Linked DNA regions of Arabidopsis thaliana. The protein of the gene in region 1 interacts with the protein of each later gene in a pairwise test. Each region holds a gene or a part of one and is shown on either strand. Other genes may lie near its edges. The genes, in order: AT1G15280, AT5G02530 and MAGO.

Region 1 (12,032 bases):
ATCTGCCTTCTTTCTAACCATTTTTATTTGTTATCTGTTATAGATATGTGAACCGGGCGTTGTTTCTTCTTCACTTCACTTGTGGGCTATCTCACCCAAATACTGCTGCCACATATATCAATGTGGCTATGATGGAAAAAGAAGTAGGGAATGATCATCTAGCTCTAAGGTACCTGCATGAAGCTCTAAAGAGCAATAAAAGATTGCTAGGAGCTGACCATATTCAGGTTCCTCCCTTATCTATCTTGCCTCAATTTGCGCGCATTCTTAAACTAATCATGCTTTCTGTGTTTTACTTTGCCAGACTGCGGCAAGCTATCATGCAATAGCAGTGGCTCTCTCTTTCATGGAAGCACATTCATTGAGTGTGCAACATGAACAAACTACACTTCAGATACTTACTGCAAAACTTGGAGCAGATGACCTTCGTACACAGGTGATTGATTTGCTTCTGGTTCATTCGCATACAAATCTCAGACGAATATTAATTTCTTACTAGCAAAGTAACAAAGTGAACGTTTTGAACTCTGAGACATACATGTTTGTTTTCTCCATTTGTCTCTCACAGGATGCTGCTGCATGGCTCGAATATTTTGAATCAAGAGCCATAGAGCAGCAGGAAGCAGGCCGAAATGGAATCCCAAAGCCTGATGCTTCCATCGCGAGCAAAGGCCACCTTAGGTACTAAAATGGAAACTCCTAGAACACATAAAGGATATGGTAATTATTTCATTGGCACCAAAGTCCGACCTTCTCTTGCAGTGTATCAGATCTCCTGGACTATATAAGTTCTGATCCAGACACTAAGGGAAATGTTGCTCACAGGAAACATCGGCGTGCCAGGGTAATTCCTAAACTCTAATATCCTTGTTTTCCTCAGGTCACTCATTTTGGATTTTGTTGATCAAATAATAACCTGAATAAAAAACCTGTCAATTGTGTAGAACTCTTCTTGAAAAGTTTGAACTATGCTGATTGGTATTCTAGATGTATGTCTAAATTGGAATATTGATCTAAATTTTAAAGGCATTCCATGCACTAGAAGTCCAAAGAAAAAACATGTGAGATGTTGAAACGAAAAGAATGAGATAGATATATCACTCCAGGATTTCCTGTCAAAGGTTTGTGACATTACTTCTGTTTCGACAGATATTACAGGTCAATGATAAGGTTGCATCAGCTGATGATGACGCCCATAGAGTTGCTTCACAGATTGACATTGTTACATGGAACAATGTGGCAGAAGCGGATGTCACTAAGAGTAGGAGCGAAGTAAATGATCCTGATACAGTTGTTGATAAGACCAATATTGAGACAGGTGATATTGTAGTACACAGGCTAAATGTAGACAGGCAAACTGTGGAAGAGTCAACTTTAGACGAGGGCTGGCAAGAGGCATACTCAAAGGGGAGATCCGGAAATGGTGCTGGAAGGAAATCCAGACAAAGGCAGCCTGATCTTATGAAAAAGAGAATGTTGCTTAATAAACATCACAACAGGAATCAGGATGTTCAGCAACAGAATATATATTCTCCCTTGCAGAAAACAAGCAAAGGACCCTCCCTCTCTAAGTCATCACCCCGTAGGGCTCTAAAGAATGCAGAGATAGATGTCAGTACAAATACAACTAAACCACAGTTAAAGGCTTCTGGTGCTGCTGCTGTGACCAGTACTACTTTGGCCTCAAAGTCTCTCTCATACAAAGAGGTTGCTTTGGCACCACCAGGTACAGTTCTGAAGCCAATGTTAGAAAAATTAGAACTGAATTTGGAGAGAACTGAAACTCAGATATACAGGACTTCAAGTGCGTCATCTGGAGAAGAAAGCAAGTCCGACACTGTAATGTTGGATTTGCCAATCGAAGGCACAGAGCTTCACTGTGAGAAACAAGAATCACAAGAAAGTGCTGAGTCAGTGGAAAACTTAACGTCAGAGTCTGAAGGGGATCTGGGGTCCTATCGTGGGAAAAAAACTTCTGATATAAGCCGGACAAAGCTATCAGCCTCCGCAGAGCCTTACAACCCTGGAGGTTTCTTGGTTATTGATCTGCAAAGCTCAGCAGCAACAATAGGCAGCTACCCAATTATGGTTGCAGACCCTATTTCCTGGGCTGTAGTTTCATGTGGGATTCACTCACCACCATATTATAGTGCTATTCACTCAAATGGAGTTGGGACGCCAAGAAGCATGAATCCAGATGCACCAGAGTTTGTTCCGAGAAGATCCTTGCAGAATAGCTCTCAACATGCAGGTGAAGATGCAAGTGTATCCGTCGACTCCAGCAGTTGCCTAAAGGCTGAGAAAGATGCAGTTGATTTGAAGAAGCGAGAGCTTGCCAGCTTCATAGTAAAGTCATCACAGAAAGAGGTTCCGGCTGCTCTTAGCAAAACGAGCCCCGAAGCTGAGTCAGGAGGTACCTCCGAAAAGGATAGTGCAGTAACCGAGATAGTTTATAGTAGAGAAGAGGAGAATGGAGCGAATGCAAATGAGACAAATGGAGGTGAAGGGTTTGTGATTGTGGCAAAGAAAAGGAGAAGGAAGAACAAGGTGCGACTTACAAATGTTGCGGCTGGGCTGTACCATCAACCGTCGTCAGTTTGTGCATGATCTGATAAGTGGGTTTCATCAGGTTAACAAAATAAAGCTTCTTGTGAAGCAGAGAATATTCTCATCTCATTTGGTTTATTGGCTTTTTTTTATTGGGATAGGTAGTTGGTTGCTTCTATTCTTATGTTGCACTCTAGGTGCAGCTTGACCCCGTTGTGTTGTAAATTTTTCGTCGCTAGTTGTCTTGTTTCTGAGATTTTGGAAGTTTTTTCTGGTCTATTATAGTCCAGAAATCTACAGCAATTTTAGGTGGACAATCTGAATCTGATACCAGTTTTTTCAAAACCAATTGGGAAGGCCACTGCGCCTATTGATTGTGTGGTCGGTTCAAAATTATAACTTGCCCAAAGCGAAGACAGCTTACTGGCGCTTAATCCTACATTCCTACTGCACCTCAGCTATCTAGAACCACTGAAATTTGAGTGGTTCAGATGTTCAGCAGCATCGGAACTGTGAGATCAAAAGATCATCATCGAAGGCTCGAAAGCATTCCCATTGAGCAAAGAAAAAAAAAGCAGCATTCAATTTGGTCTGAAAGCTAAGAATTTCCGAGTTTCTGAAGCAATTATTGTTATAGCAAGCTCCTATTCATGTGATTCCATAGGAAGAAAACAAATGAAATAACATTGCGACAAATATTTACATGCTCAAAAGAGAGACTTTAGATTAGATTCTCGGAAAAAAAAAGACACACAAAACAGGATGCTGACCAAAGTTTAGGACAACTAGTCTCCTGAAAATAGCTTAAAATGGTAAAATACCAAACAAGCAGATGACGGAAAACACGAAACACAAATACATTACATCTCCCATAGCTTTATATGAGCCACTACGTCCCTTCTCCATTCTATTTGCTACTAGTAGTCGTTACTATTATCTTTTGTTTTTTTTTCCCTTCCCTTATAAAACTGCAACAAGAACAACAAGCACAATCAAACATCCACTTTCTATTACCCTGTTACTATCCCCGGTAACTAAAATTTGAATCACTTACCTAAGATTTTCAGGAACAATTGCGGCCTTAAAAGTGTTCTGTAACAAAGCTTGGAGAAGCAACATAGCCCTGCGCCAAGGTGTCCCTAAAGTCCCTTCTTAAATTCTCACAAATGTTTTCACTTGCTAAAGGTCATCTCCGAGTACCTGTATATACAGCAATGACAACTCCAGCGGCTATTCGGATCAAATTGCACAAAACTTACTCTACATGAATCCTATATGATATTCAACCTTAAGTCTATGAATGTAGTTATTTCCAAGTTAAATTCGTAGACATAATGCATCATGATTCCCTAATCCTAAATGGTTCCATTACTTCCATATCAACCCATGATCAATTTGATTCCCTAATCCTAAATGGTTCCATTACTTCCATATCAACCAATGATCAATTTGACAGAGTAGGTTCGAGTTAACTTCAAAAGCTCACCTACGAGGCTGCTTGCTTGGATTGTTGCTTTGCCGTTCTGAAACCCCATTCTCTGCAACCTCTACACAGATGGAAAGTAGCTTAACTTCAGATATAATGATCCCACAATCAAATCTCATTTCGTGATTTTAATAGGAAAGACAAATTTTGAAAAAGTGCTTATTGAAACAGCATTCCCTAAACATCATCTCCCATATCTCATTTCCAGATGCTTATGTACTAATTATCTATCACATCCAACCACATAGTCTTTCATTATGATTTCTTTCTTTTAATGCAAATTCATTCCCTAATAAGCGTAATACTATACACAAACACCTGATGTGTAACCATTAGAATTATAACAGAAAGAGCAAGTTTTGCAATACGACTAACCAGGACTTTCCATGGGTTTGACCAGGTCATTAAGGGTATTTGTGCTACTGTCTTTGCTGCAAAAATAGTAACTGGATTAAGCAAACTAAAAATCCATGCTTTGCAAATATAAATATATGCCAAGCATATGTAGTAGGTTTAAATAAGAGAAAAACACAATGCAAATTTGCGTCAGTTAACATTGTTTTTGCATTAAAAACATTTAAGAGAACGAAGGCAATTAATCTCTAAACCTGGAGAATCCCGCAGAGGAAGGTAACCCTGGGTTGTGTGCTTGGTGAGCCGCATATGGTGGTGGACTGTATGAAGCCCCTAAAGCTCCTGGACCAGCTAAAACTGGCATCCTGCCAATCATATAAAGAGATCACAGCAGCAAGCAGGGGAAAGAATAAAATCAGGAACTAGATATAGTCATATAGATGAAGAGCTCATAGCATTCAACCAACACAGTATCCAGAATGAAAGTAAACATTCTAATGATACAACACCATCACAGGTTTTGTTTTTCCAGTAGGTAGACCCGCACAAAGGTGATTAAAGGGACAACATATAAAAACACAAATAAGACGGAAATTCAGCAACCAATACGCACGATATCTAATTCTTAATTCTTTGAAATGCTTACAACCAAGAACTTCTGAAAACTAGCATCCACAAAGTTCATCGAGAAGGGGAAGGAGCTAGCTTACCATGTCATCTCCGGATTTCTAACACCATCTTCAGACTGGACATATCCTGGATAAGCCATTCCAAAAGTCGGAACCCCACCATGCTGACCACCAAATTGCATAACTGCATTTCAATTTGAATTTAATTAGAAAGTAATGCAATAATCTCCCCAAGCTGGTACAACAGGACTCCGAAAATAGTATATATGAACAACCAGGCCTAGGTGGCTCGGCGTCAATAGCTTTCAATTTCACCACCATGCATGATTTGAAACTGAAAATTCTTTCAACTCATCCATTTTACAAAGAAAAGCGTCATCCAAAAAACTTACCAGGCAGAAAAGTAGGGAAATTAGAATTGTCAGCAGATGTCAAACTTTCTGGCCGCCCCATCATTTGGGATCCACTATACATAAAAGAGCTGCTTCCACCAGGCCTGAGAGTCCCTTTTCCTTTAGCAATCAATGCAGCTGTTTCCGATGAAGATTCTATTTCATCAGGAGGATACCGATTTCTTGATAAGCTAGTTTTCTGGGGAGAGGAAGACAATGATCTAACAACAGCAGAGTGCTGATCAAAACCCTGGCCGGAAGGTCTTTGGCCAGTGCCTTTTGAATCTCCATTGAGTTGCATTGGTGATGAAAATCTGTCACCTTGACTATGAGATTGCGGGTAAAACGTGTTCCCAGCAGCAGGTGCACCTCTACCTTGACTAGTGGACTGAAGAGTCTTGGCAGTCCAAACTGGTGAATAACCGGATTTTGTATTCCTATACTTCTTCCCAGAAGGCGTGACACTTTCATTTGTGTGGAGTCTTTCCATACTAACTTGTATACCATGTACCACATTACTGGACGGCGCTGAAGGATAAAATGGAGGAGAAGCGGAACTCAAACTTGACACAGCTACATTCTTTTTGGCATGGGCACCTTGATTCTCAGTTTTAGCAGGGGCAGTTGGTGAACGCCGTGAATCGAGGTGTGGCATTTTCTCACGAGAGTTTTGAGACCCATTAGAATTTCGTAACCTACAAATTCAGTACACAAGTACATTATAATAGAGAAAACCCTTCACTCAACTAGGGGATTTTTTTTTTAAGAACTCACTGTTTGCTTTGCTCAGAATGTGCTTGATTTTCATTCCTCAGGGGAGTGTCGGATTTCCTGGGTCCTCTCCCTCGTGAGACAGCTTTAGGAACATAAATTTGCTGTCCACTACTGGTTAATGTGTTAGAACTGCTCCCTCTAGCGTATCCACGCCCTTGTCCCCTACCCCGACCATGACCTCTGAATCGGCCTCTAGACATCCTCTGCTGTGTATCAAATGCAGTTTAAGAAAGAAAGGAAAAAGATAAGAGACGGAAAGTGCATAAATACAACAAAGCTAACATATGTCACATGTACATGTTATAGCAATTAAGAGATAAGAGGAATCTAAAATTATTCTAAAAACCATAGACAGAAGCTTTACATCAGAATGTTTTTCCCCAGTATTCATCTCTTCAAATTTGTCATGTCCCCATTTTCTTTCCTCTCCAGAGCCCCACTGTCTTCTCCCACCACGCATTCGCCTACGAAAGCAAGATAAAGAACTATATCAATCGACAGATAGAAGGTAGAGAGGAAGAGCTATATTCAGAAAAAATCATATTTCCCAATAGTATGAACTAAGCAATCCCCAATGCAGCTACTCAAACCCCTCATGCTTGATAAAATTGCAAGATAATAAGAGGTCAATAACTCCACCTTAGAGTCAATTATCTCTCCTCTAAATACAATTTCATCCTAAGTTAATACCTACTTTGAAAAATCCAACCCTTGCATAATAAGGTTGAGTTGATACTTGATAGCTTATAGTGACAGATTTTGAAGCAGAATTGATTGAGAAAGCTGTGAAAAACAAACACAGTAAAGAGAGTAAACCTGTTTCCGCCAGCAGACATTTCCTGAAACCTATCATCATGCATATAAAAAGCTCCACCAGTGGGAACAGCAGCTTGTAACTTCTCCTTTTCATTTTCTTCCTCTCCATTCATATCACCAGCCTCCTTCACCACACCACTCTTATCATTATCGATTCCTCCACCACTTTCCTCCTCATCATCCTCATAACTATCCTCCCCATCTTCGTCATTATCATACTTCACAGTACCAACTTCTTCATCAGATAGGTCAGAATCAACCACAGCCCTCTGATTTTTCACATCTCTAACAGCATCATCATCATCACTATCGTCATCACTCGCTTCTCTCCTCCTCGTCGCCAAGGAGCGGTTCAGCTCCTCGGGATCACTCTCATATTCCGCTTCAGATGTCGCCATGAAATTCTCTCTAGAAACCTGAAAAAAAGGAGAGTGGTACTCGTAAATCCAAAACCTAGATGAAGAAGAAATTCAATTGAGAAATCGAAAGAGTCGCTCAAGCGCTCCGTACTAATCGACTATGTAGAAGAAAGCTCGCGCATACCTATAAACCCTATCTGAGCTCGAGAGGCGTTCTTCAGCGATTTTGGGGGTTTCCAATGAAATCGAATGGAGCCAGACCTTTTGTTAACTGTTAATTAATCGATTTTATTTTGTTATTTCGCGCATTAAATATAACGACTGTGACCTAGGTTGACCCAAATAAAGGTATTTAACGGGCCCAAAAAGAAATTTGTAGGCCTTTTAATGGGCCATACACTTTCAGAGCCCATTTAATAGGTTGCGTTGTTACTACGAACTCATTATAAATATGAACCGTAGCCCCAATCAGAGAGATTCGATACCGTCTGCAACTCTCAGCTACTTTTTCCCCAATTTTGAGCTCAACATCGAACCCTAGCTCAACGAACCAATCATGTCTTCCAAGCAAGGTACGTTGCTGTTATACAGAGATTTGAGTTGGTGATTCGTTCACCGAATAAAGTGATTAGAGACATCGTTTACGATCTGCTCATCTTATTTTGGTTTTAAACAGGAGGAAAGGCGAAACCTTTGAAGCAGCCTAAAGCTGATAAGAAGGAATACGACGAGGTGACTCTACTGTTTCTTTTTTCTTTTAAGAGTTGGATTTTCTGTTGATTTGCCTTCAGCTAAATCGGCTTATATTGTTAGCTTTAGACCTCGAATCAAACGATGCTTTTGCTCTGGATCTGGTTTTGATTGTCCAACTAACTTGAATTCTTAAAATTTGTTAACATTCAGTGACTCATAAATCATTAATTTTGCTCGGATTCAATGATTTATACGCAAGTTCGAATTTTGATCCAGTGTTTTTAAGGGCACAGTCTTGACTTCTTCACTTGATTTTGTTTGCATACTATTTGTGTATTAATGACTCTTAGACATTCTCTAATTGCTGAAATGTTGATTTGGTATCAATGCAGACTGACTTAGCTAACATTCAGAAGAAGAAAGATGAGGAAAAGGTGAGTTCCCACTTTGATGCTCTGACTTGTTTTCTCTTTTTGTTCATATGAAGTTTTGTGATTGGAAAAATGCATCTAGTTAAACTTATATGTTTGGGCTCCTCTTTCAATGGAAAGCTATAAAATACGAATCAAAGATTGTATCTTCACAAGAGAGCTTCTGTTTAGATACATAGGTTTGTAAAGGTTTTGTAAAGGTTGTGCATTAATATGTTCCACTTTGTCAGTTTGGTCTACTAATCAAGCTGACTCTAATTATGACTTTATAGCTGGTGACTACAACTAGATGGGTCATTTCTATTAATTATTTGTTAGTTTAGGGGTATTCATTACAGATTCTTTTGAGATGATATGGACTAGTTTCTTCTTACTTTGATGAAATAGTGACCATTTGCCCATGTTAGGATGTTTAGTCTACTTTTTTTCCACCCAATTGTGTGAAAGACTCATTAGCCTTTCTTTCGCATGAGAAGTACAGTGATCATTTGTTACCGAAAGCCTGACCTGTTTTGTTTTGAATGAAAATGATAAAACAGGCCCTTAAAGAGCTTAGAGCCAAGGCATCGCAGAAGGGATCCTTTGGAGGTTCTGGACTTAAGAAGAGTGGCAAGAAATGATCCGTTTTATCCATGAAGTGTGTTTTAAAATGCAAATTTATCAAGTGAAAAAAACAGATAATCCTGTGTTGATGTAACTTTTTATCATAATTCGAGAAGAGTAACTTCGCTTCTCCATACATATGTTTGCTTTCTCCATTTTTTCATGAAAAAGAAAAGTGGTATCTACCCTAAAATCATTTTGTCAAGAATCGAGTAGTAGGGTGTCACATCTCTATCTTCAGATATAGTATTATAAACTGTAAGTTGTCATAACTTGAAGTGGAAAATATGTTGCATTGATAGTAGTTGAGAATAGGAGCGTAACTTGACTCTACAAGATGAGGTAGAAACTGAGGGTGGTGACAGGTGATTTTACCAAAGCGGTGTGTGTAATGGTTAACACTGTTCTTAAGAAGTGCATACTCTATAGATGAAAGAACTACAGATAGCCCGTGAAAGCAAAGCTGATCCAGAGGAACTTTAAAGCCTGAAGGAGCCTGCCTTTCTCCTTGAACCGTTGATCTTAGCAGAGGTACGAGGATCAGAGAACTCGTAATACATGTCTGTGAAGAAATTGTCAACAATGTCAAGATACACAGGACTTCTGATGCTTGAATAGCATCGAAGCGCTTCCCTTACATCCAATGCGTGATCCACGTCTCTCAGATCCACCATATTGAGATCTTTCATCTTTTGCGCCAACGCGTCACCTCTTTTCTTTGCATCCTCGAATGGCTCAGCGACTTTCTTCGGTTTCTTTTTATGTTGGTTGTTGAGACTCTTCTGGTGTGTTGTATCTGCCACAGCCGTGTCACAACAGATAACGGTGTAGCTTTCTTTGGTTTGGGTTTGGGAATCTTCTGGACAGCGGCGGCTGCAGGAGTAAGGGCTCAAGAGAGGAGTGTCGTTAGGTAAGTTTTTGTAATCACTAGAGCAGATAGTGGACTTGATGCTCCCAAGAGTCTTCTTTAAGAAACGACCAACTCTCTGAATTGATTTTGATGTAGGTTTCATCATCTTTCTTGCTGCTCATTTTTTTGAGAAGATAACCATATTTATGTCACTAGGGATCTCAAAAGGAAACCTAACATTGATTTAGTGGCATGTAGTAGTTGAAGAAGCAAGCTGATAGTGTCAGACTTTAAGAAGGTGTCATCTTGTTGATTGTGTTGTCCACTTTTATAGGTAAGCAATCGTCATCACATTGATAAGCAGTGTTCAAAATTGGTCCCCTACTTATCATTGCCACCACCACTCACTACTCATATTATATATACTGTATGCCAGTTGACTCGAGGTAATATCAGAACCAGGCCCATGAAGCCCATTAAGAAGCCCATATTTTTGGCGGTAACCAATGAAGATCCATTTTGGGTAGGAAAAACCCTAAAGGACGCTACACAGTCGTCTTCTCGGAGCCGCAAAGATTTCTGTAGAGCAAACTTTGATCATCCCCTGCATCTGCGGCAATGGTAATCTATTGGCATTTTTTTTCCATGTAAGCTCATGTGTGACTTATGTGTAACCGGTGCTTTGGAAATGACAGGGTAAAGGAACAGGGAGCTTTGGTAAGAGGAGGAACAAGTCACACACGCTCTGTGTGAGATGTGGTCGCCGGAGCTTTCACATCCAGAAGAGTCGTTGCTCGGCATGTGCTTATCCAGCTGCCAGAAAGAGGACATGTATGTACTCTCTCTCTATTTCTGTCTCTGTCTTGGAATTTTGGGTCTGATCATGGAGAATTGGAGATATATGAAAGAGTCCTGGAATTTATGATTTTGTGTGCAGATAACTGGAGTGTGAAGGCAATAAGAAGAAAGACAACAGGAACTGGTAGGATGAGGTATCTCCGTAATGTCCCTCGAAGGTTCAAGACTTGCTTTAGAGAAGGTAAAGCTACATTGCACCCTTTGCTTCACTTAAATATTTGATATAATCTAAGACTTGCTCAATCTGATCGATGGAATTCTGTGAATCAGGTACGCAAGCCACCCCAAGAAACAAAGCTGCAGCTTCGTCTTCCTAGGCATTGTTCAGTTTGCGTTTTGCCATCTCTTTCTTGCTATGTAGCTTTTTTTTTTAATTCGTTTGTTTATCTTTTTTGCTCTTGTACTTCCTTTACTGTGCAATCCTATTTCTGATAGTGTGATCACTCATCAATGAAATGCATCCGTGCTATTACTGTTTAAAGAATTCTAGCAAAACTCCACGTAATATGGAAGATGATTACAATGAAAATCCAAGTATCAGTTCGGTGGTGTATATTGACCAAAGAGGTGTTTTTCGTAGTGCAATTTTTTGAAAGCTTGCTCCATTTCCGGAAACGCTGATAGTAGCAACAACTCCAAAATGTCAAACGCCAATTGCTTCAAACACACTGATGACTGAAACAAGAATAATTTTAACAATGAAATCATCAAATGCATGTAAGCATCGCACAAACCTGAAATCAAGTGGAATGTTTACCTGAAGGAAAAAGTAAAGATCTTCTGCACATTGTTCATACTCCTTTTGTCCTATAAGACTCACTATAGTAGCTGGGGCTTTTTCTGTGAGTTGAGGGTTTATTTCAAACATTTATGTTAGTTCAATTAAGCTTCGCAATCATTGATGCAAAAAAAAAAAATCAGATAACAGGACGCTCATTACCGATCATCAGCTCATGAACAAACTTTGCTCGTCTCTCTGCTTCTTGTTTCTGCTCCTCTTCAGAAATGCTGGATTGTTGCTGCCTTTTTGGATGCTTTGTCATGAATACACCATCCGGCCATAGTATCTGAGAGGTCATACCAAAGAGCTCTTTCAAATCTCACCACGGATTGAAATATAACAAGACCAAAGACATCACAGAGATATATCCCTGTTAGGCATACTTTTTCCATTATTCACTGTGACTTTCGCCACTACCTCTCACTGTGCAAAAGGAAGGAGTTCTAGTGGAGGTTCTCA
Region 2 (9,105 bases), on another chromosome or scaffold:
AGGAGACTCTTTTGGCACTGATGTTAATACCGTCCCTTCGACTATCGAGAAAGGTTAGGTCTTGAAGCAATGTGTTTGTGTGTGTGTGTTTTTTTCTGATGCATCTATGTTTTATTGATATGTCCTTGTTTTATGATTTCTTAGCAGCTTGTCCTCCCATTTTATCACCTTGTAAGTACTCTAACAGGAATCTTAAGGATAATCCAGCTGAGAGCAGAGAGAAAAGCAATGTGACTGAGACTGATATTGCAGAGATTAATGATAAAGGTGGTTCTGGAGCAAGAGATATAAAAACTGCAAGGAGAAGGTCTCTTCATCTGCAAATAAAAAGGATACTTGAATCGAGTAAAGTCCGGAAGACTGCTAATGATGGAGATCATGGTAGTGAATTTTTGAATACGGCTAAGCGCGGTGATGTAGAAAGAGATGGATGTGAGGTTATCAATAATGAAGACAGTGAATGGAAACTCGATGAAAGTGAAGTCCAGAATCTTTGTAATGATGGAGATAATGGTAGTGAAGGTTTCATTAAGGCTAAGAGCAGTGATGTAGAAAAAGATAAGAGCGAAGCTATCGATAATGATGTGATATCTCCAGCGGTTGGAAGTGGTATTAAGCATACCGGTGCAGATAATGTTGATAAAGTGACAAGTGCAAGTGCTACTGGAGAATCACTTACTTCGGAACAGCAAAATGGTTTACTTGTAACAACAGCATCTCCACATTCCCTGCTTAAAGACTTAGCCAAGAGTAGCAAACCTGAAAAGAAAGGAATATCCAAGAAAAGTGGCAAGATCCTCAGAAGTGACGACAATGTAGTAGATCCCATGAATTACTCTGGGACGAAAGTCAAAAGTGCGGAAAACAAAAGGAAAATCGATGCGAGTAAACTCCAGAGTCCGACTAGTAATGTTGCAGAACATAGTAAGGAAGGTTTAAATAATGCTAAGAGCAATGACGTAGAAAAAGATGTATGTGTGGCTATCAATAATGAAGTGATATCACCAGTGAAGGGATTTGGTAAAAGGCTTTCTGGTACAGATGTTGAAAGATTAACAAGTAAGAATGCTACTAAAGAATCACTGACGTCAGTACAGCGAAAAGGTAGAGTGAAGGTATCGAAGGCATTTCAAGATCCCCTGTCGAAAGGAAAATCAAAGAAAAGTGAGAAGACCCTTCAAAGTAACAGCAATGTTGTAGAGCCTATGAATCATTTCAGGTCTGAAGCTGAAGAAGCTGAAGAAAACTTGTCATGGGAAAAAATAAAGAGGAAAATCGACTTTGATGTGGAGGTAACCACTTCCCCTTATGCCACCACTTACATGGTTATCCTCTGATATTCCTGTTTGAGTGTTAATGCTCTTGTTGTTATGTAATTCAAAGGTAACACCGGAAAAAAAAGTGAAGCAGCAGAAGACCAATGCGGCGTCTACTGATTCATTGGGACAGAAACGGTCAAGATCAGGTTAATAGAGAGTAGAAAATCTTCACTTCCAAAGGGCTCTGTTGAAAGCATTAGTTAAAAAAAGAATTTTGTTTAATGTTTTGCAGGAAGGGTGCTTGTGTCATCACTAGAGTTTTGGCGTAACCAAATTCCTGTTTATGATATGGTTTGTGATTTGATTTCCTTAACACTAGACCAACCATGGGAACAGAGTCTTTAACATTGTCTGGGTTTGCAGGATCGGAACCTTATCCAAGTAAAGGATGGTAGTGAGACTAACTCCGCTCCATCTAAAGGTTAGTTCTTTAAAGCTGTTTTTTGATGAAAACGGCTTTCACTATATAATACAATATTTGTTGTTTTTTTCTTTCTTCTTCTTGATAGGAAAAGGATCGGATTCTCGAAAGCGAAGAAACTTGAAAATCAAATAAACTATTTCAAACTTTCGTAATTAATAAGTAGGTTTATTATGGTCTCTGACCCTGTAATCATAATTAATAAGTAGGTTTGTTATGGTCTCTGACCCTGTCTGTAATCATTTTGTTGGTCGTGAAACTCTCTTAATATTTTAGTATTACTAGCTTCCTTTATTTTTTTTACAAAGTAAATTCATAGTGGATCTCGTTTGCTTCAAGCTCAAAAGTTTGAAACGACAAAGTATACGTAGTAAGAGAGTAGATAGAATTGTGTTTTGAATTGATATTTTAGAAGAGTTTTGAGTTCCACGGTACACACAATGCTTGTTTCTCTGAACTCAACTGCAAAAAGCTAAGAAGCTCACCAAGAGAAGAAAAAACAAAAGCTAAAGCTCGAAAATGTCAGACCCATTGACATTCAATCTAAAGATCATACTAATACAAAAGCATATCGGCACTAAAGGAAGGAATACATGTAGACATGCAATAGGTTTAATCTCCCCTTTCTAACTTGTTTCCATTGCCTCTTTGTGGTACTTGTCCAATTCAGCATCAAGATCCTCTGCAGATACGTTTTCATCACGTCCTCTTCCACCACTGCCACGACCACCACGTCCTCTAGCTCCCCTGCCACCTCTGAAATTACCACCGCCAAAACCACCACCACGAGGACGCCCCATAAAACCGCCTCTTCCTCTGCCTCTGTGGCATAACAGGTTATCCAAAATATTTAATAGGAGTACAAGGTTCGTGTAATCTACCTATCAGGATATACTTGGCCTAACCAAAAAAGCATTTCGTCAATATACTAACTCAAGAACAAAACATAGGCCATCTTAACAGAAGAACAAAACATAAGTATTTCATCAAGATACTAACTGACTTAGCAATAGATTGATAGACCCTAGCAAATGATACTATGAAGTTTCCATATTGAACAAAGTGTGGAAACAAGACAAACCTGAAGTTTCCATTGAAGTTGCCATTGAAATTGCCATTAAAGTTCTCATTAAAGTTGCCAAGTATCCCATTAGTAGGAAAAGGAATCTGAGCTGTAGCAAGAATGGGAAGAGCTGGAGCAGAAAGATTAGTCCCAACAATCTCTATCTTCATCAGTTTTCCATCCAACTGAACATTGTTGTAACGCTTGACAGCTGCCAATGCATCCCCACGCCTCGAGAAAACAACTTCAGCAGTCCCCTGAAAGCATCATTAAGTTTAATCATGACAAGACGATTCAATAAACAAATCTCTGAAGCACAATAAAGCTTATCAAGTAAGTACCTTTGATCTTCCACTCCTATCATAGTGAATCCCATATCGCTTAAGATCACCAACCTCAGAGAAAAGCTCCTACAAGCAAAACCATCTCAAGATCAGAAACAAAACCACAATTTTTCTCATAAGTAAGACTGGAACTATAATAAACTTCTAAAGCACAAACCTTGATATCTTCGTTGGAGACACCATAGTCTAAGTTTGAAATGTAAAGCTTAGTTCCAGTCTCGATAGACGAGCCACCACCAACAACAGCAGTCTGATGATGCCCAAAAGCCGCCGCCACAGACGCATCAGTCGCGAAGACGTCGTTTTGCCACATCGCATCATGAGCTTGTTGTTGTTGAATCGGCTGTTTTATTCGTCAAAGAAGAAACGAAAACAGATCTCAGCTTTTTTTGATTTCACAAAAACCCTAAAAGGAATTCTCTGATTCTTGAAGGAAGAGAAGGTAAAGGGAGAGATATAAAATCAATGGGCTGACCCTTGAATACGGCGCCGTTCTGGCTCCTACGCGGTTAGCAAACCGACGAGACGGACCGGAATTAGAACCGGAACCACCGCGACCACCGGTGTTATTGCCACCTCCAATGCCTCCTCGGCCGCGAGATCCAGTAGGTTTTCGATTAGATTTGATGATATCATCAAGTGACATATCTAAGCCACCTGACATCTTCGCCGGATCTTTTCTCCGATATCGAGAAATGTAGCTAGGGTTTTGTTGCTCTGAGATTTCAAAGATGGAATTACGCACCGCGAGAGTGAGAGAGAGAGAAACAGATATTATCTTCTCGGAGAATTACGATAAACACCTCAGCTTTAATCAATATTGTTTTGTTGCCCTTAAACTCTTACGTTTTACTAAATAGACCCCTGAGTTCTTAATGGGCCTTTTGGACTCATAAAAATCCAGTGGCCCATCCTCATTGTCCACTTCAACTTATTATATTTTTTTCCCTCCGGCCATTGTCATAATCAAAGATGTGGACAAGTACATGTGAAGCACACGCATTGCCTGTATGGGCACAGTATGTGACTGTATCACAACGTACATACACATTCACGTATTAATATTAGTAAGTCAACCCTTTTTTTTCTTTGTTTATCTCAATTTGGAAAACAAATCTTGCCTTGCTATTTAACAAATTACTTGTACCATGAGTGTTAAAGACATCTTTATAACCTGACCAGAAGATTTTATGTAGAATTCTAGACGAATTATGAAATTTTTAATGGTTAAGTGGACTTTTTTATTATATGATATACAGATTTGTATTCAAATGATGACACATTAATTACTATACAAAATATTTAAATATGTTGATAAAAACAAAATGTGGTTAACAAAAAATTATTGATATCTTTGATCCATGGAATAATAACCGTTGCACAATAGTATTTTTTGAGCTGCCTTTTTTGGCAGTAATATAATATAAGGAAATAAATAGTCAATATCGTTAGACGTTATAGTCTCACATGGTCACATCACTTCCCCATACAAATGAGCCAATGAGCCGGATGTCATGTGCCAGTCGCCGCTAAAAACATGATAGATAGAGTAAATGCCTTCATTATTCTACTTACATAATTCGACTATCCTAATATATAGGTGCTAGATCTAGCAATATAATCTCTTCTGTTTCTTCTTTTTTTTTTTTTTTTTTTTACTGAAGCAGTTACAAATGTAGGTTGGTCCATTCTATTTAGATTTGTTTCGTTGCATGCCAAACAAAATAATGTTAACCGGTTATAGAGTACTAAACAAACAAAATAATCGCTAAATATAAGTTCAGCTTTGAAAAGAATATACTCTCAGCTACCACGACAAGTTTGTTCAACTATCAGTTTTACATCATAAAGCATTATAGGTTTTGATTGTTTAAATCACGAATTAGTATGTTGAAACAATAATAACAATAATAAATATGGCATTAATCTCGATAGTGGTGTGTGTGTGTACCTTTGTGTAAATCTACCACCTAACAATGTCATTATGAGGCTCTCTCAGCAATCAATTTTGCAAGGCAAAAAAAAGAAAGATCCAAATCTCGTAGTTGGATTCTCTGAACTTGGAAACGGGATGTGAAAGGAACATCGATATCTATGAGCACGGGCTATGAATTAATTTTATACATTCTGTATTGTTTCTTTATCCAAATAAGTATATATCTTTCTTTATCTGCCGGTCAAAAACTCTGTAAACGACCGATGAAGTATTCTTGAGTAGAGTTTTAATGATTTTCTTTAGTATAAGATTTATGCTCTTCAGTTGTTTAAAATTTGTACGAGACCTTGTTTAGTTATGTTAGGTTTTCTTCTTTATTTTCTATCAAGAACATCCAATGCAGGTTTGAATATGGATGACAAAGTCAAGTATTTTCGTCTCTACATGAAAGAAACAAACCCACACCACTTTGATTTTGTTGGTTTAGACTATAGTCATCGGTTTAGTTGCATAATAACCTCCCTAAGTTTTGGGGAAAAAATGAAACTAATTAGATGGTTAATTAAATGAAACTCGCCCCTAAATTAGGAGGGATTTGGGTAAGTGGTAACACATTCACTGGAAACATGTGAAGAAAGGAGGATGTCAAGTAGCTGAAAACTCAGTATAGTAACCAACGGCTTCTCACCAACCTTTCATTAATAATTTGGTCATCCCTATATTTTTATTCAACATTTTGTTTTTCAATAGCTTAGAGCACCTTAATACCTTTCAGTGTTTTTTTATAAAAAAAAACAAAAATTGGGATTAATCATCAATCCCCAAATGTAACGTTTACTTAGATTATGTTCATTTTTCTATACACACAAATCATATTCTTTTGTTTTAATCTTCGAAAAACGAGAGGACATTAAATACCCCTAAAAAAGGAGGGGACATTACTACCAACGTACATTAACATGTTTGATAGCAAACGATTTATTTTGTTCGTTTTGAAAAGGGGAAAGTAATGTGTAAATTATGTAAAGATTAATAAACTTTTATGGTATAGTAACATTTTCGAATAATAAGAGAGGGAAAACACTCGCCATTGTCGGCAATTTAGAACCAATATTAGAAGGGTTTTTTTAGAGAAAAAGGACTTAAAAGTTTAGAGACCTTAACAACAACTTATTTAGAAATAGACATGCTTAAGTTGACAACAGCGAGTTTATTTTCTATATCGAAGAAAAATACGAACTTTTTCTTAATTAGATTTCGAATGCATGCACTATCGAGAATCGACCGTCACAAGAAAAAACTAATATACATACTGTACATATCTATATTCAATATTGGTGGGGATGGGTTTAATGTGTATTTATAATTCATGGATAAATTCACACAATAAGGTCCATGAAACTAGAAGGTACCAAAAATAAGCATTAATGACTCTTTGCCACTTATATATATGATTCTCTCATAGTACCATTTTATTCTCCCAAACCTATCTTCTTCTTCCTCTCTTGTCTCTCTCGCTCTCTCTCTTCTACATTGTTTCTTGAGGTCAATCTATTAAAAATGGGATTATATTCACTAATCACAGGAAGAAGAGGACCAAGTGGATTTGGTTCAGCTTCAACAGCTGAAGAGGTTACTCAAGGGATTGATGCAACTAATCTCACTGCAATTATCACAGGTTCACATATGCATATGCATACATTTACAAAAAAATTACATCGCTACGTTTTTGAACATGTTTTAATTATTTATTGCTAACAAAACTTGGTATGTGATTTATTATTATTGTAATAAGGAGGGACAGGAGGAATAGGGATGGAGACAGCGAGAGTGCTGTCGAAGAGAGGTGCTCATGTGGTGATCGGTGCCCGAAACATGGGAGCTGCAGAAAACGCCAAAACAGAGATTCTCAGACAAAACGCAAACGCACGTGTCACTCTTCTTCAATTAGATCTCTCTTCCATCAAATCCATCAAAGCCTTTGTTCGTGAATTTCATGCCCTCCATCTTCCTCTCAATCTCCTCATGTACACATTCTCTCTTTCTCTCATTCAGTTTAAAGCGTTTGCACCGCCTTTTTTAGCGTTTGGATTATTGATTCTTATGACAATTACAGGCTTTGAATGGTTTCCACATTAACAACGTTAATTAACACTGTTTTGGTTACCATTCCTCTGTTATTGTGTAGTACTACTATTTACGTTAGTTAGGTAATAAACAACGACACCCAATAATTATTTATGCAGCTTTTTCTTTTTTGATGTTTAATGCTGTGACAATGACATTATTTTTTCGCTCTAAACATTTGACTTCTTTCTTCTTGTTTTGACAACATCAATGTTACTTTACATTTTCCAATGTGGTATCATTTATTACTACCAAATCTCTACACACGTATCACTAGATTTGTAGATGTGTGTAGCAAGAAAAATAAATGTTATCTGTTTTTATTTTATTTTTTTGGGTGAAAAAAAAAAGTGCATACTTTTAATTAATAATTATAACAATTGTACACAAAATGGATTTTGCAGAAACAATGCAGGAGTAATGTTCTGTCCATACCAACTCTCTGAAGATGGAATCGAATTGCAGTTTGCTACAAATCACATTGGTAAATCCTATATTTATAAAAAAGTTAAAGAAACTTGGTTTCAGAAATTAAACCTGAAAATATTGAAATTTTTAATTCTTGAATTATACTGTATAGGTCACTTTCTGTTGACAAACTTGCTCTTGGACACAATGAAGAACACAGCTAAAACCAGTGGTGTTGAAGGAAGAATTTTGAATGTATCATCTGTAGCTCATATCTATACTTACCAAGAAGGAATCCAATTCGACAGCATCAATGACATTTGCAGGTAAATTCTACAGTTTTTGACTTGTTTCAAAACTAAATAAATCTTGATCTTGTAACCATGTTTTTTCTTTCTCTCAGTTACTCGGATAAGCGAGCTTACGGACAATCGAAACTAGCCAATATATTGCATGCTAATGAGCTCTCCCGTCAGCTTCAGGTCGCCTTCACACACACTGACAAACACAAACACATATATGATATTTCAAAGTGTTAGTACTATCTCAAATTTATAAACACTTGAGAAAATAAAAACTCAAAATCTTTTTGGGGACATTGTTTGGTAGGAAGAAGGAGTAAACATAACAGCAAATTCAGTTCACCCTGGTCTTATTCTCACCAATCTCTTCCAACACACTGCTCTTTTAATGAGTAAGATTTCACATCATTTTCTTAGTTTCTCTGTTTCTCTTCAAATCATTCCTTTTAATTCCGTTTTTGGCAGGGTTCCTGAAGTTCTTCAGCTTCTACTTGTGGAAAAATATACCTCAGGTACTATACTAGTAGATAGAATCCTAAGACTAAGCCAAATTCAAGATCTTACTCTATGACTATGTTACTAAATAAAGACAAATCTAAGAACAATATTTTGATGCTTCTTGTGATGTTGTCAGGGAGCAGCAACAACATGTTATGTTGCTCTGCATCCAAGTGTGAAGGGAGTAACAGGAAAGTACTTTGCTGATTGCAACGAAGTCACTCCAAGCAAACTTGCTAGAGATGAGACTTTGGCACAGAAACTCTGGGATTTCAGTGTTAAGCTCATTAACTCGGTTTCTAAAAAGAACTACCTCGGTTTCGATGACACCACTTGAATCTCTACGGTGTTCTTGTTGAATGTTACCTAAAGAGTGAAAAAAAAGTAAGAACAAGTAGAGATTGTGATGTTTCTTTCCACATTATCGTATGGTAACTCATGAGATGCATTGTTGTATGCTTAAATATTTTATCGAGTGAATATGTAACCGCGTCAATCTTTTCATAGTATGGACAATAAAAAGAAGGGTTGTTCATCACTTGATTATTCCTTGGATGATCAGTGTCTCTAACCTAAGAGCTACAAACAAGAACCGACAAGAGTAAAGTTGGTTGTGTGTGTTTTAAGTAATTAAGATCGGAAATGTTTGGTAATAGATTGTGTCATAGTTGAAGAATAGATGACTTG
Region 3 (8,800 bases), 4.8 Mb from region 1:
GAAGCATGGGTGAATCTGACTTCATTTGTGAAGAGGCAAAGCGGGACAAGGCAGGTTATAGTATTAGCGTTTGCAGTAATCTTACTGATGCAGGTATGTGTATTTTGGATAAATTGGTAGTGAAAGAGAGAGAGAGGGAGATAGAGAAAAAAAAAAGCTAACAATAGGTGGAAGTGTGGACAGGTGACGATAGTGGTGCTACTGAAAAAAGGAGGAGGGGGGCAAGTGGAGTATCATGAGAGGTACGACGAGTACAGTGTAAACGGGGAGACTTTGGGGTGGTTAGAGAAGAGAATGCATTTCCTGAGGGAAGAGATGATGATGGTTGAGGATCGTTTGCAGAGGATGCGACAAGACCATGCCGCCTTGAAGGCTCAGTTCCACCATTTGGAACGCCTCCTCCGCCGCAACAAACAGTAAATTTGCTACACCCTACTCTCTGTTTGTGCAGAATGCGGATGGATATATGCATGTATGTATGTAATGTATTATCGGACGTTACTTTGCAAAGTTGTTGTTATACCTACCTACTCATATGAATATGAGCAGAGACTCTGTTAAACGAAATGATGTAATCAATTGTATTCGTGTTGCACCTGTATCAAAGATTAAATTCACACTGGTGACTCCACTTTCTCGCTATTGGATTCTCTCAATGTCTCAATCAAACAAACAAAAGTTGATTCTAATTTAAATTCCCGAGACGATTATCTTTGTTTTCAATGATGATCACGTTTGATATAGGAAAAAACAATTTGTGGGTTTTAAATCGAGTCGTAGAACATTGTTATGCAAAGAAACCCATAGAAAACCACTAAAGGCAGAAATGAAAAACAAGAATGTTGGAAAGATGAGGACCTCATCATGAGGTAAAGCAAATAGGAAACGTGAAAAACAGAATAATAACCAACCAAAGGAGCTTAATTACAGACAAGACAGATTTGGGGGGATGTTGTGTAAAAACCAAGTAGTAGTGAATTGGAGCCTAGTCAAAAGAAGGAACACGTGTTCTAAGATTGGAAAGGATATTGCTAGGCTGGTCACGTCAATCAAGTTGAGCAGCAGCCGTTCTTCTGTGCCACAGGCTGTCCTCTGATCTGCACGGTCGGTGGTCTTGCATTATTCCCAGCTGGTTGGCTAGCCATTCTGCATCCAAACCACAGAGATCAATTTCTCTCATATATCACACGAACGCACACTCTCTGCAAATTGATTAAGTACAACTACTTGAATTTTCAATTTGAACACTGCAAGGTCAACATCAGTCATTTATTTATTTCACTCCAAGGTCACTTACACAGTGACACTTTCTGAGATCTATATAAACACTTACAAAAATGAGATTATGGCTTCGCAAAAGTTCCATCAGGTATGATGAGTATATTAACCGCAGTTACTTAAAAAGAACGATGTAAGATAAATACCTCTCTTTGATGGATGCAGACATTGCCATGAAAGCCTGTTCTACGTTTGTAGCATCTTTTGCACTAGTCTCCATAAAAGGAATCCCGATTTCATCGGCAAAAGCCTATGAATGTTTCGAAGTAATCAGGAAAGTAATAATAGCCTTAGAGTTTGATGATTTTCAAAACTTGAGAAGAAAGAATTGGTTCAAGTGGCATATATATACCTTGGCAGTTTCATAAGGAATGGCTCTGTTTTCAGTAAGATCAGACTTGTTTCCAACAAGGAGTTTGTTGACATTGTCACTAGCATAACGATCAATTTCACTCAACCATTGCTTGACATTATTGAAGCTTTCTTCATCTGTGACATCGTAGACAATCTACCAGGTGCAAGAACTAAATTAGGACATAAACTTAAAGGAGTCAACAGAAAGAACCTAGATAAGATGTTGCTTACAATAATTCCATGTGCCCCACGGTAGTAACTGCTAGTAATAGTCCTGAACCGTTCTTGACCAGCAGTGTCCCACTGAAAATAAGTGAAGAGGGAAAAATATGAATTAAGGGAAAGAGACGTAGAGCTATTAACTTGACAAGTGTGAAAATAGTTACATACAATTTGGAGCTTAATTGTTTTGCCATCTTGTTCCACAGTCCTAATTTTCTGAACAAGAGATATATAAGAAAAAAAAAAAGGTCAGATCAAAGCATCGTCATCAGTAGCAAGAAGAAAAAAAAGAAAACATCAACTTACAAAATCGACTCCAATAGTGCTAATGTAACTTTCTACATAAGAATCATCCTGCAGCAGAACAACAAACATGAACAAATGTAGAAAGCTACAGTGTTTGATCTCTGAGAAAGAAAAAGACAAAAAAAAAAACTTACAGAGAATCTCAAAAGAAGACAAGACTTGCCTACGCCAGAATCCCCGATAAGCAGGAGCTTGAAAAGATAGTCGCTGCAAATCCCAAAACGCTAATTAAACCCTAGGAACCACCCGGAGAATCAAATATATAACAGAGGTAATTTCGACCCAAGTATGTGTCGATGGAGAAAGGAACTTACTACTCAGGATTCATGGTTTTCGATCTGTGGGAGGAAGAGCAGCGAGCGATACAGAGCCAGAGATCTCTCTCTCTCTTTTCTGATTTTCTCTCGCGATTTACAAGAGGAGGAGATTCAGTGTTTGGGCCTTGAATAATAATATGAGCGAAGGCCCAATAATGCAAAAGATTAAAATTCATTCTTCTTTCACAAGTTTAGGGTTCCTACGATCCACTCAGCAACGAAAATGGATCAAGCCCGACAGAGTCCAGAGGAGCGGAGGCCCAATAACGCCAAGATTAAAATTCATTCTTCTTTCACAAGTTTAGGGTTGTAAATTGGCCCTTCCTACGATCCACTCAGCAATTGGAGATTGTTTTGTGGTTCCCAGATGTTGGATCTATACTAGTCTTCTTGATTCATTTTTCCAATTGTTGCTTGCTTTTTGATTGACATCTATATTTTAAGTTGGGAGATATACTCTAACTCTTTCTGGAGGAGGAGGTTAAAACAAGGTAAGGCTTGGACTCGGGTCCCATCTTCCAGTAGAAGCTCTCTCTCCAGTTGATGCCTTGTCGATTTCAGCACCGTCTGCCAAACAAACACAAATTTACTTACACTCAGTCTCTGAAGACTGAGTTGATCTCTTAAAGTCAAAGCTATATGGAGGAGAAAGGCTACGTTAAAATCCATGTAAAAAAAAAAAAAAAAAAATCCATGTAGGAATCCCGCATTGTGAGCCACTTATCATCCATCACCTTGAACGCAATGCAATATCGAATATCAAATGCGGACTCGTTTTCTAACAATAAATTATACACCATCCAATTGTCAATATATATGGCTTCGCGTTTATCTCTCTTAACCCAAAGCTGCTGTAACTAACTAACTAACCAGCTACTAATGTTTCCCCGACCATCTTAAAAGGTAACTAACTAACTAGCTGATGCTAGTTGGTGCCTGAGCAGGGGTGAGATCAAAGGAATAACGAGAGTGGTGATCCCTTTTCTGTGCACAAACACAAGCCAGTCCCCGCCCTAACCATGCACCTGATCCTGCCACAAGATGAAATATGCATGTGACTCTCTGCAACACACTACAACAAGGTAAAGGAGACTAGTGCGTGCTTAACCTGAGGATGAATGGCAGGTGCGTCCTCTGTCTAGGCTGTGAGTAATCCGCCTGACACTGACAAATGAATCCTCCATTGTTCTTCCCGATTCATAAAAAGCTACTCTTGATATCTTCAATGCAAAACCAGATTTACGGGTTTTGGAGGAGCAGTTTGAATGGTCCGAGGGCGTTTTTTTAGAATGGAAACAATCCTAATTATCGACTAATCCAGCTAGTTTTTGATACTTTGTATTTTAGATAGATCACATTCCTTAGTTTAAATTGGCTTGAGGGAAAAGAAACATGCATCATATGTAGATGTACATTAGGGAGAGTGAATGATTTGTGATAAGAAAACAGCAAGTATATGGTTTTTAGAAGATAGGTTGTGGTTCATGAAAGGTTCTTCACATGGGATGTTGACACAAAAAAGGACCAAAAGTTGAGGTAGAACATCTTACATACCCACTTTCACCCAAATCCAACAAAAAAAAAAAACAGAGAACCAGAGACATAAAAACAACCAAACTTCAGTCACAAAGTCCTCATGTTCCCAACAAATTCATCGCGTCTTGACATGTCACAAACTGATTTTCTTCTCTAGATAGGCTTGATTTTGAAGTGCAGAGAGATGAGCGAAAAAACAAGACATTTCAAGTCCTGCAACCATGAAAGTTTCAAAAGGAATATGTTAGAGCACAAATAAATACAGAAACTAAAAAAAAAAAAACTACAGAACCATGTAAGGGATGAGTGTTAACAGCCAAACCCTAAATGTTAAAGTTTGAGACAGTGAATACGTTAAAAGGCAGAGTCCTAAATATATAATCGAGTCCAATAGAGTTAAGGGATTAGGTAAAAGAAAAGATGGTAAGGCAAGGGGTGGAAGAAAAAGAGAGGAGACCTGAACAAGATAGTAGAAGATGCGAAGTCCTTCAGGATCATTACTGCTCTGGCAATCAACAAGAGATCCAATCTTAGATGTAGCGAATGAGATATGCTCATTACCCAAGACGATCTCGAGCTCTTGCTTTCCAACACGGTCAGGTTCCGGCCAATTGTTATCGTCTTCTTTCAGAATCTACCCGCAGACAAATAATCACATGTCAGGTTGTACAAAATCATCCATTATTCCTAGATAATAGCATTAACAACGAAGAGGGTTCTAAACCTACAACACTAGTCAGGAAAGATGCCCTAGATCGACAAAAATCGAAGCAAAATCACTAAAACCCTAATTGGCTATTATAGCGTCGATTGACCAAAACGCGGACAATTAACAAGAGAGAAGCAAATCGGAAGAGAGAGAGAAAAAGGACCTCGCTCTCGGAGACGATACGCTTGCATTCCTTGAGCACGGCGGGGGTGAGAAATACCTCCTTGCGGATAATAGTATCGTTCTTGTAGTTAGAGTTATTGGCGTAACGGAGCTTACCGTCCTCTCTAAACTCGAACTCCAGGAACTCGTGTCCAAATTTCCCTTTGTGACCGACATAGTATCTCAGGTAGAACTCCGTCGCTTCTTCCGCGGCCATGCCTTCTCTTTTTTTCTTTCTTTCTCGAGATCGAGATTACCTCTCCGTGTCCTTTGCCCTTCTTTAAGTCCGTCCCCGCAAAAGAAAAAAGGTAATGGGCTTACATATTGGGCCAGAACCCATTTGTAACCCGAAAAGTTAAGGCCCAGTTTTAGTTTTTCTGTTTCCATCGAAATTGTGTGTGTATCCGGGCTGCCTGATTTCCGATTCCCCGATACAGAGACGATGCCGACGGATTCGAAAATGGCCAAGTTTCTTCAATCCTATGGTAATTTCTTCGTTTCGTCTTCTTAGGCGGCCAGATGATCTCTTTTTCTTTTTTTATATAACTGAAACTTTCGATTGGTGGGAGCAGGATATGATTTGATTCTGGGATCTGTAGCTGCAATCTATGTGGTCATGGCACCATATACTAAGGTGGAAGAGAGCTTCAACGTTCAGGTAGGTTTTCAAAGTATTTAGAGTCACACTCTTTCTCCGTTTTACTGAAACCGTTTCACTCGTCTCAAGTCAATGCACGACATTCTTTACCATCGCCATCATTTGGACTCTGTGAGTGACCTCTCTTTTTACTTCTTCTCTGAAGCTTTACTCTTTTTTTTTTTATCTCTAGAGTGATGTCAATTTTTACCGACTTCTGTCTTTTTATTTTTTTCCTATCAGTATGATCATTTGGAGTTCCCCGGTGTTGTCCCTCGAACTTTTATTGGTAAGGAGGGCTGTTGAATTTCGCTCTCTGTTTTTGCATCACCTGTTGATGGTTTTTTTTTTATCATTATACATTAGTGGATGGTTTTTTTTTTATTCCACTCTGATTTGTTCTTGCAGGAGCCTTCATAGTCTCTGTTTTTGCATCACCTGTTGTATCAATTATCAGCTGCCTTGGCTTCCCCAAGGTTTATAGCCTTGTTGCAGGTTTCTCTTCTGTTTCTCCCTCCCTATATAATTCCTTAATGAATCGCTAACTATTTTCCCCTAAACACAGACAAAACCAATTCACATCATAGTTTTATCATTTTGTCTTGCAGCTCGTTTGGTGTTGGGCTGCATCATATTGTCCACACTAAGATTTTTCCGGATTCAGGTATGAAGTTCCTTTAGTGCTTCTTTCCATACCACACTTCTGACTCCCCTATCTGATTCTTTGTCCCTTCCCATGTCCTTGGAATTGGGATCTCTTACATGCATCTTGTTGGCTGTTTTTCTCCTATATACTGCCACTGACCAAAATCTACTGGTTTGTCAGATAAAAAAAAAGTTTGGAAATCAAGTGGAAACTTTCTTTGTACTTTTCACCAGTCTTCAGTTTCATTTTCTTTTCTACTGCACTCGTCCTCTTCCTAATATTCTAGCTTTGGGATTAGGTAATTACTTCTATTCATCTTACTCTACTAGTAGTGGTCCTTCAGATGTCCTAGCAATCTTTCCCATGACCCATCTAGCGTAGGCCTTACTAGGTTCTGCTTATGTTTTTAAATTTTGATTTTGCAGTCAATCTGGCATATGGTAATTGGTTAAAGGGAAATTTTTATCCAGCTTTGAGTTTCCTGGTATGTATTATCTTTGTGGTGACATATTTTCTCGATTATAGATTTAGAAAATCGGTCATGCTATCCAGAACTATGGGGTTTGCTGACATCTCTGTTATCCGATAATCAGATTTTTGCCACTGTAATCTTCAGATGCGATACGATGTTACTGCTTGGGCCTATTGGTCTTGAACTTTTATTGGTGAGCTGGTGACGAATATTAAATAGTTTGGGTTCTCAACTTCTGTATATGTATAATTGGCCGTATACTTTACCGTTCCATCTGATGCGGGTGCTTTATGTTTGTCAATGACAGACCAAATCGATCTCCTTCTGGAAAGCACTTAAGTATTGTGTTGGAACCGCTCTGTTGGCCGTAGGTTGGTTAAAATTCCTCTTCTTTCTGTGATCTATTTTGCTTTTTCCCTTCAGACACTAATTCCCGAGTCTATTTTCTGTGGTCATGGAATAATCCTTAGCACAGGTCTTACCATTTTCGTTGACTCTATCATGTGGAAGAAGTTTGTCTGGCCAGAATTTGAAGTTTTCTGGTTTAACTCCATTCTAAACCGGAGTTCTGATTGGGGTGTATCCTTCAAAAAAATTGTTTCCTCAATTGATTTATTTTTCATATGATGCATAATGTTCTAGCATTTTTCTACTGCCTGATTAAAGGATTGCGTTCTGTACAATGATAACCGTTTGGAATTTCCAATTCAAAGTTTAATATTGTGGCACTTGCATTTGTATGAAATGATGTGTTGTCCTTGAAAATTAGTTGCTAAACTAGACACATTCCATACATTGGTACTTCACCTCAGCACTCCCACGGTCTTTACTTGTAGCTTATCCACTTTCATTGGTAAATACCAGACTTCCTAACATCTGTGATAGTGTTTGTCTTGTTCCTTTCTAGTTAGGATCGCTAATTGTATCTCTACAAATTTTCTTATTTGGTTTCTTTTTATGCAGCTTGGTACTTTAGTTGACAGAAGGGTTCCATTCTTTATAGTTCCAGTTTTATCGTTCGTTATACTATACTCTAAACTTCCACACAAGGTATTCAGATGGATTACTTATCTCAGTAGCCATCAACGTTTCTTAACCATTTTCTGACATCGGCTTACCTATCTTTCTTGATTTATGAAGGAACTCCGATTTATCATTAGTTCAGTGCCAATGTTCAACTTGTCTGCTGCAGTTGCTGCTAGCAGAATGTATGAGTTCTATCAGATGTTTGCTAGCTAAGCTTTCAATCATAGCTAGGACGTTCTTTGATTCTGTATCTTAAGAGCTCTTTGGAGTTTGGATACACATAATTTCTGTATGCCACTTTAAATTACTACCAATGCGGGCCGACCTCTTAATATAATCCGATTTTGTTGTACAGCTACAATAATAGGAAGAAAACGATTTGGAAACTGGTGAATATGGTTATGCTAGCGTTTTTTGCAATCAGGTAGAAATAGTAAACAATTATCTTTGCTATGTAAGAGAAGGAAAGAGATTTGCTAGTCTACTAAACCTGGTTCTATAGTGCAGGGTGCACGGTTGTAACATTCATGGCATCTTACTACAATTATCCTAGCGGCTATGCTTTAAAGCGCTTGCATCAGATTGGTGAGTGACTTATTCTGTTATTGGGGTTTGTTATTAATGCAGCAGCATTGACTTGGCTATCAAACAAGAAACATCTGCTGGTCAGCGTTTGTTTTGTGGTGTCTATCTACCTCTGGTTGATAATTTGCCTACAATATGATTAATTGACTTGGTGCCTTCCATGGTTCTCAGGCCATCCTGCAAATGTAGCTGGGGAAGAGTGGGTTCACATAGACACTTTTGGTGCGATGAATGGAATATCTCGCTTTTGTGAAGATGATTTTCCGTGGAGGTATGTTAGCTGTACTACCTCGTTTTAGGGTTGGTAAAAGTAAAGGAAATATCAATGTACATGGAAAAAAGTTGCCACTCGGAAGCACCCATTTGTGCGAGATGAGGCATCTGTTTGTTTTTCATGTTCATTTTCTTGGATACGAATATCACTTTGTTGGAAAAGGGATCATTCTACATTGCCTTTGAATACATAGAAGAGGTATCTGTTTATCTATTTAGGAGGATATAAAATTTTGTTGTGCAATGCAGATATTCCAAAGAAGAAGAGATAGTAGTG

The links.
Region 2: the proteins of AT1G15280 (region 1) and AT5G02530 interact in a two-hybrid assay, tested with the Arabidopsis thaliana proteins (one study listed by BioGRID).
Region 3: the proteins of AT1G15280 (region 1) and MAGO interact in a two-hybrid assay, tested with the Arabidopsis thaliana proteins (one study listed by BioGRID).

The regions. Positions count from the first base shown.
Region 1 is NC_003070.9:5,247,902-5,259,933, reverse strand, and holds AT1G15280 (CASC3/Barentsz eIF4AIII binding protein), read right to left. Parts: upstream 7,650-12,032; 5' UTR 7,542-7,649; intron 7,415-7,541; 5' UTR 7,397-7,414; coding exon 6,999-7,396; intron 6,647-6,998; coding exon 6,547-6,646; intron 6,389-6,546; coding exon 6,183-6,388; intron 6,104-6,182; coding exon 5,409-6,103; intron 5,201-5,408; coding exon 5,098-5,200; intron 4,753-5,097; coding exon 4,642-4,752; intron 4,465-4,641; coding exon 4,409-4,464; intron 4,095-4,408; coding exon 4,034-4,094; intron 3,748-4,033; coding exon 3,720-3,747; 3' UTR 3,602-3,719; intron 3,516-3,601; 3' UTR 3,071-3,515; downstream 1-3,070. Other genes in the region: AT1G15290 (Tetratricopeptide repeat (TPR)-like superfamily protein), read left to right, coding at 44-227, 305-436, 569-681, 763-844, 1,150-2,607; AT1G15270 (Translation machinery associated TMA7), read left to right, coding at 7,914-7,929, 8,034-8,089, 8,443-8,484, 9,021-9,101; AT1G15260 (LOW protein: ATP-dependent RNA helicase-like protein), read right to left, coding at 9,564-10,100; AT1G15250 (Zinc-binding ribosomal protein family protein), read left to right, coding at 10,553-10,555, 10,630-10,765, 10,872-10,973, 11,063-11,109; AT1G15240 (phox (PX) domain-containing protein), read right to left, coding at 11,330-11,467, 11,550-11,632, 11,733-11,859.
Region 2 is NC_003076.8:561,966-571,070, forward strand, and holds AT5G02530 (RNA-binding (RRM/RBD/RNP motifs) family protein), read right to left. Parts: upstream 3,961-9,105; 5' UTR 3,812-3,960; coding exon 3,623-3,811; intron 3,491-3,622; coding exon 3,305-3,490; intron 3,214-3,304; coding exon 3,145-3,213; intron 3,061-3,144; coding exon 2,822-3,060; exon of another isoform or gene 2,563-2,821; coding exon 2,367-2,562; 3' UTR 2,120-2,366; downstream 1-2,119. Other genes in the region: AT5G02520 (dentin sialophosphoprotein-like protein), read left to right, coding at 1-53, 145-1,292, 1,384-1,465, 1,552-1,610, 1,683-1,740, 1,829-1,875; AT5G02540 (NAD(P)-binding Rossmann-fold superfamily protein), read left to right, coding at 6,644-6,761, 6,879-7,110, 7,615-7,694, 7,791-7,944, 8,022-8,100, 8,228-8,312, 8,386-8,432, 8,555-8,755. UniProt on the Arabidopsis thaliana protein: Export adapter involved in nuclear export of spliced and unspliced mRNA.
Region 3 is NC_003070.9:399,301-408,100, forward strand, and holds MAGO (mago nashi family protein), read right to left. Parts: upstream 5,157-8,800; 5' UTR 5,102-5,156; coding exon 4,886-5,101; intron 4,648-4,885; coding exon 4,471-4,647; intron 4,227-4,470; coding exon 4,167-4,226; 3' UTR 3,800-4,166; downstream 1-3,799. Other genes in the region: VAD1 (GRAM domain family protein), read left to right, coding at 1-93, 184-420; RA-5 (RAS 5), read right to left, coding at 1,050-1,146, 1,425-1,528, 1,631-1,786, 1,864-1,935, 2,023-2,070, 2,161-2,208, 2,295-2,367, 2,475-2,488; ALG12 (homolog of asparagine-linked glycosylation 12), read left to right, coding at 5,327-5,369, 5,457-5,542, 5,612-5,653, 5,765-5,810, 5,930-6,016, 6,130-6,185, 6,348-6,465, 6,593-6,651 and 10 more. UniProt on the Arabidopsis thaliana protein: Core component of the splicing-dependent multiprotein exon junction complex (EJC) deposited at splice junctions on mRNAs.